Kluyveromyces lactis: one gene and its partner. The protein of the gene in region 1 purifies or fractionates together with the protein of each later gene. This does not show direct contact. Links are inferred from orthologs where the notes say so. Each region holds a gene or a part of one and is shown on either strand. Other genes may lie near its edges.

Region 1 (4,613 bases):
CTTATCTTTGGTGTTAAGATACGTGGTAGCACCTGGTAAATCATCATCGGCCAACCATTGGACGACGTAATTCTGTTTAATTAATTCATAGGCTTGTTTCTTCCCCTCACCGTTAGTTTTCCTATCACATAATCGCACACAATCCTCGTCTTTACCGAACGTCAGCTGATAGTCCGATTGCCATTTCTTGTTCCCGTATAATATGTCACTGAAAGTCAAGGGTAAAGGTTTCATGTCCTGCGACGGTGGACAAGTGAAATGTAAGTCGTAATATCCATACGAGAAATGAGTTAAGTCAGATTCGACTTTGTTCACAGTGATATCGACCTTATCACCATACTCATAGAAGTTCGGACTCAATAGTCCGTACTCTTTGAAAACTCCAGTGTGCTGCTGGTACGACGAAGAAAATTTGAATGGGTTGGCATCTGGGGAAGGCCGACGATGATTTCTCAGCCTTGGAAGAACCCATATTAGACTTAAAAGTACCAGTAAACTGACTAGAACCGATCTTGATTTCAGTTTCATAACAAGAGTTTAGTGGTGGCTGCGTGTGTTAATGGTTTATGAACTAAAGCGAAAGACAGAAATAAATGAGGAACAGTATGAATAATTGTGTTAAGGAAATATAATAGTTTAATGTCACACACAAACACGGAGGGCGGATACCAGTGTTCTTCGATCAAAAGAAAAAAACCCCAGGAAAATTATTAACCAAAACCAAAACAAAACCAAAACCAGGACAGTAGTATAATACAGATATATATATATATATATATATATATATATCCTATCAAAAACCTCAGAGTGAAGTCTTGTTTACCATTTAAACTTTCTCCTCTACTCTTTTCCCTTTTTGCCTGAGATATGCTTTAAATATGAAAAGCTCATCTCGAAGAATAGAAAATCGACAAGGAAAAATTCTGAAAAATCGTTTTTTTTCTTCTGGAAAAGGAATCATTATCCTGAATAGTTAGTACACGGCAGCGATAAGATGGATATATATATCTACGTACATTACTCTCCACGTATGGGGTCTATATTAACGTAACTGTATTAATATCCACTCTACACATTCTGTAAGCTATTCGTAAACATTAATTATATAATATGTTAATCTGCCCTTGTGCTGTCTCTCGCCTTCTTTTATTTAGTCAGGCTGAGTGAGACAATATATCCTCTGTGACTATCTAAAAAAAAACAGTTTCCTCTGTGCTGGCCAGTGTCTTCTTGTTCCAGACCCTTTCTGCACATAAAGCTCTGTTTTTGTTTTCCGTTTGCCTTTCCTTAAAGCAGATCAAGAATCGATTCAAAAATTCGAGATATACAATACGTGGTGCATGGGTGCCAGAGGACAATACACATGTTAGCGTAATGACCGGGTAACAACTTCTACTGAGGCTCAAAAAAGCACATCACGTGACTGTAATTATTATTGTTATCATTATGTCAGGATAAATTTCAAATCTAGAAATCATATTGTTTTTGTATACATAGATGAGGGAGAGGTGCAATGTATGTAGTGCACTGCAAATTTATCAAGAGAGAACTTAAGAAGTGCTGTTGGTTTCTTTAAGTTAACCAACCCATGCTATTCCATTCTGTGCGGCAGAATGCTGGTGGAAATGTGCCTGCTCATGATAGTTTAGGTGGTCACAATCAAGAAATTATGGATGCATCAGTCTTCAACGGCCTGCCGTCTGCAACCTCCGCAGCAGATGCAGCAGCAACAGCAGCAGCTGCCTCTGCTTCAAATTATGTTGATTCATCGAATCTCTCACATCTTTCAGAGAAATTTAAAAGACTTGAAACTCTAATCTCGGATCATTTATCACAGTTGAACATAGAATCCGCCGTTTTCGTCTCAGAGTTGTTATTTGCGGAATGCTCGAATCTGGACGAATCATCTCAGGAAAGAGCGCTTGCGAATTACTTTTACTCTCTATCCCTGTACTTGAACAATGACTTTCATACTGCTATGCATGTTTCCTCTGAAAGAAGACATGATAATCTTGCATGTGCCTACGTATACTCTCGATGTTGTTTGAAATTGAAGAAGAATTATTCAGACGCTTTGGATTGTCTATTATCATTACAGTCCTGTTGGGACACCTGTCTATCCCATTTTGGGTATCCGAAGAAATCAACAATCTGTCTCTTAGTAGGGAAGTTATTCAAATTATTGGATCACGAATCTAAGAGTGAAACTTTCCTCAGATCTTCCTTGGATGGGAATCCTTATCTCTGGGAAGCGAGCACAGAACTTTGTGTTCTTCGTTCAAGTTTGGTTCTTACGGTATTCAAATCCCAGAAGAATGCGCCTACACGCTCGCAATCATCTGCAGCAATGATGACGGTACCACCTCCAAACTGTAGTATGGATTCCAGATCTAGGAATAAGCCTCAAACTCCATTTAAAGCTCCATCCAGAAACAGACAAAACCTTTCCAACTCCCAAACTACATCCTTATTATCGGCTTCTAACGTTGGTGTATCCATTTCTCCTCATTTCTTTAAAAAACACACAAGGTTTACTACAACACCAACTACTGCAACTTCAAGTGCAAATGTAACCACTACAAACACATCTTCTATCGATACTAAACATCTCGGAACTACAACACCATCGAAACTGTCAGGAACAGATTCCCAAACCAAGTTGTTAAGGTCTCCCATGGATAAAAAAATTATGACCAACAACTCATATCAGATGCCAAACATTAGCACTTTTGACTCAAATTTGGATGAACTTTTCTCCAACTTCATCCATATAGAATATTGCAAGTCAAGGTATGATTCATTCAAAGCCATCCGCATGATGCAAAATCGCATTCCACTACAGATAGCGGTGTCTATGCCTTGGTGTTTATCCACATTGGGTAAGCTACATTTTGAATTAGTTAATTATGAAATGGCTAAATCTTACTTCACGAAATTAAGAACTTTACAACCTACGCGGTTTCAAGATATGGACACCTTCTCAACCGTTTTATGGCATTTGCAAGACAAAACACACTTATCCGCTTTATGCGCGGAGCTATTAACGTTGGATAAGTATAACCCCATTGCCTGGTGCAGCATGGGGAATCTTCATTCGTTAAATAAAGATCACGACGAAGCCATTACTGCTTTCGGAAAGGCAATTCAATTGGACCCATTCTTTGCTTACGCTTACACTTTACAAGGGCACGAGTATTCTAATAATGATGCATTCGACAATGCAAAATCTTGCTTCCGTAAAGCTTTAACTATCGAAAAAACTCATTACAATGCACTTTACGGACTTGGAATGTGTTGTGTCAAACTTGGAAAGTTTGAAGAAGCACTATTATTCTTCGAGAAGGCAAGAGCCTTGAATCCGGTCAATGTCATTTTGAATTGTTGCTGCGGCGTTGCGTTAGAAAGATTACAGCAGCCAGAGAGAGCTTTGAACTTCTACGAATTAGCAACTGAGTTACAACCAAACTCGTCTTTAGCATTGTTCAAGAAATCACAACTTCTATTGAACATGGGACAGTATTCTTCTGCGCTACATAATTTTGAAAGATTAGAATCACTTACCCCTGATGAAGCTCATGTGCACTTTTTGCTTGGTAACCTGTACCAAATTGTGGGTAAGAAGCAAGATGCAATGAATCAATATACTATTGCAATGAACCTAGACCCTAAAGGTAGTCAATTAATAAAAGAAGCCATGGAAAAATGTCATGAACAGGGTTGATAAATCTGTTATATATCGTTACAAAAAATCTACTTGAACCTTCAACCAAATTCTTTCACACAACGTGTTTTTACAGTTATCTATATAGCCTTCAAAAATAGCGTCTCCCAGTGTATATGAGTGTTCTCAGATGATTTGAAGATTATAATATTAATGATAATAATACAGATAGACGAAGGACTAAAGATCTACATAAAAAATACTACACAGTCGACGAATTTCTTTGGAGAATGATCAGTGAAGATCAAATACGATTACTCATGAACTTAGGATCCAGGCCAAAATATTCTCCTCCTTGAGTTGATAGTGTTTTCGAACCAGTCGATGAATTTCCAGTATTAGCAGTCGTATTTGAGGTTAGCTGACCAGCCATTAAATAAGGACTGGTTAATCCAGACGTGATAGTCGTATTATGCGTAATACTTGGCGAGGAAATATTAGCAAAATCTTCAGAACTTTGAGTTTGCTCAGCTCTTTGTTGATCCCATAAGTCTTCGTCATGTTCATTCAGTGACCTTTGCTGCTCTCTCAGTCTAGTTTCTTCACGCGCTTGGGACAGCATTTCCTGAGCTTTTGTTAATGAAACGGTAGGCGTCGCACATGAACTGATAATAGGAACTGAAGTGTCAATGTCAATGGTAGCTTTGATAAGAGCTGCTATCCATGCTCTCATCTCCTCTTTGGTGTCTACTGCGAAGTAATGTACACGAGGCTGAGTAAACGTTAGACCTTTCTTGGAGCCAGGTTGAGGAGGAACCAATTTAAAGCAATAACGCCCTTTACCAGTGCTAGCAGCATAGAGAGAAACAAATTTGTCATCTTCTTTTGCTGGCAACACTCTATGAGCGGTTATATCAATCAATCCACGTTCTCTATTTTCGGTTGTATTGGC
Region 2 (2,522 bases), about 290 kb from region 1:
ATAAATATGCATATATTCAGGATAGCGGGTGGTATCTAGTATTATTTATACACTATTTATGCTTTAATGCGTCCGGCAAACCCATAGGTATTCCATCCTTTCCCCTGTTTCTTTAGTTCTCTCTTATTTATCGATGATACGGCTGTTGGTCAAGAATGAAATAGTGAAATTTCTTGCTATTTAAGAAATTGGTTCTTGTCACATACAACCTTAAAATGATGAAACAATATGAACAAGACACGTTAGATTTTGGACACACCGTCTGTCTACACTTTCATAGATTATCAGATCCCAGGCGTTGTTGAAACGAGATGTTGAGTAAGAGAAGTTTGAGGCTGGTAAGTCTCACCGGTATGGTGATTTTCGTTCTTTTCTTCATCAGGCACAATGCAGAGTCCGTGACGCGTTCTTACGTGGGGAAAGAATCTAGCAACCTCGCGAATGATGCCAAGGTCGAGAGTGACATCAACAATATCCAAGAAGGTATTGCTGAAACCAAGAGTAACGCGGTTGTTGCTGATACCAGCAACGCAGTTAAAAATATGGCTGGGCCCAACGGTGTGAAAGACTCTGATTTCGCTGCTGAAGTAGAAACATACAACGCTGAAGCTGAGTACAAGAATATCCTTTCTCAATCACCAATCGTGGTGTTTTCTAAGAGTTACTGTCCTTTCAGTACGAGGCTCAAGAACTTGTTGAAGGAGTATGAATTTGATCCAATTTATACTATCGTTGAATTGGATAAGCATGAGAATGGAGCTGAACTACAGAAATATATCGGTAGCAAGACAGGAAGGTCTACTGTTCCTAACGTTATTATCAATGGTATATCTCGTGGTGGTAGCGATGAATTTGCTGGATTACATGAGGATAATTCATTATTACAGAGCTTGAAGACATGGGCCGGATCTACTTTATCCGTGAAGAAAGCTGCTGCTGCGACTTAAAACTTGGCCTATAACATATATAAACATTCGTATACTATACTACAGTGGATCTGATCCCTTTATTAAATTTGTAATAGAACCTGTGACACTTTTATGCATATGGGTATAATATATTATAAGAAAGGATTAGATAGGAAGAATTGAAAACACAAAGACAGAACGAAGGGAACTGTGACGAGGATAAAGCCTGCGATAAGGATACTTCACCCGTGTTACTATGCGTATAGAGGTAACAGATGTCAGTCTAGTGAGCACTTGGGCGTGGGATATTCCCAAGGATTTATCGAAAGGGAAACATGGTGTTGCAGATCAAACGGTACATATGGAAAAATGGGAAGATATACAGAATGAAGATGAGGATGCAGAGAACGATGAAGAAGAATATGAAGTGTGTGGGATCTGTCGTAACCGGTACGATGCTACTTGCCCCTCCTGTGATTACCCTGGTAGCGGATGTCCAATTGTGTTAGGATTATGCAATCATAATTTCCATGTTCATTGTATCAAGCAATGGCTAAGTACTGAAACATCAAAAGGGTTGTGTCCCTTGTGTAGACAAGGATTCCAGTTGAGGCCTAACGTTCTGATAAATAAGATGCACCATGATGAGTTCCAGAAACTGTTGATGAGTGTGAGACAGCACAACATTCCGATGGGTGGTGGTGAAATAGATCAAGATGTGATGGATGATGGCTTCATACGATGAAGGGAAGACTCGATATGCTGAAGATATGTGTGTGTACATCTATTTAATTGGTAATAGGATAGAGTAGTGGTTCAAATCATCAGTGATGGGCTAAGTATACTAGGTAGCGAGGCCATATTACAGGTGGTGTCTCTTGCTCACATGAGACAAAAAAGAAAATGCTTCCAACCAGAGTCGAACTGATGATCTCCACATTACTAGTGTGGCGCCTTACCAACTTGGCCATAGAAGCTGTTAATTTCTTGTTTGATGGGGTAAGAAAAACAACTACACCTGATACTTTTACAATCAGATGATCAAGCTCATGTGAGAATACACAACCACTGGTTCAATAAAAAAGGGCGATAAGCTAACCAGTATACTATTGTAAAATGGTATCGTGTTGCAGTCAATGTTTGTTCGTCAGTACACACGTCGATTGTACGTTGACCTACCGTTTCAGCAAGCCACGACCATGCGGTACCTATCGTGTGGCTTTTCCCCAAAAGCACTCTTATCACGTGATTTTCCCCTAATGTGAAACTCTGTTACTACAAAGAGAGAAGCATGATTAAACCCAATGACTTTAAAAAAAATACACTATGCAACTGCAACTGTATACAATCGGACCAAATATATACAGACCCTAATGTATACCCTAGCACACCTACACACGAACACAGAATCAGCCACTTCCTAAACTATCGCTTCTTCAAGCACCAATCTGCTTCTTTTCCATCCTGTCGTTCTCTCAAAGTGGACGACCTGAGGAAAAAAAAGTTGCAAAATTCATATATAAATAGGAATGAAAAATGCCTGCACTGGTTTACCATTGGCCACTGACGCCATATATATGATCTTAGGTTCTTCAATTGATATACAGCCTTATA

Evidence for each region. The genes of interacting proteins can lie anywhere in the genome.
Region 2: the proteins of CDC27 (region 1) and APC11 purify together in Saccharomyces cerevisiae (affinity purification with mass spectrometry; 4 studies listed by BioGRID, with this or other methods). This does not show direct contact. The link is inferred for Kluyveromyces lactis from reciprocal best matches to the Saccharomyces cerevisiae genes CDC27 and APC11.

Annotation. Positions count from the first base shown.
Region 1 is NC_006041.1:1,858,929-1,863,541, forward strand, and holds CDC27 (anaphase promoting complex subunit CDC27), read left to right. Parts: upstream 1-1,588; coding exon 1,589-3,721; downstream 3,722-4,613. Other genes in the region: TMN3 (Tmn3p), read right to left, coding at 1-528; KLLA0_E20879g (uncharacterized protein), read right to left, coding at 3,966-4,613. UniProt on the Saccharomyces cerevisiae protein: Component of the anaphase promoting complex/cyclosome (APC/C), a cell cycle-regulated E3 ubiquitin-protein ligase complex that controls progression through mitosis and the G1 phase of the cell cycle.
Region 2 is NC_006041.1:1,570,149-1,572,670, reverse strand, and holds APC11 (anaphase promoting complex subunit 11), read left to right. Parts: upstream 1-1,164; coding exon 1,165-1,653; downstream 1,654-2,522. Other genes in the region: KLLA0_E17733g (glutaredoxin), read left to right, coding at 312-947; inorganic diphosphatase IPP1, read left to right, coding at 2,438-2,522. UniProt on the Saccharomyces cerevisiae protein: Probably catalytic subunit of the anaphase promoting complex/cyclosome (APC/C), a cell cycle-regulated E3 ubiquitin-protein ligase complex that controls progression through mitosis and the G1 phase of the cell cycle.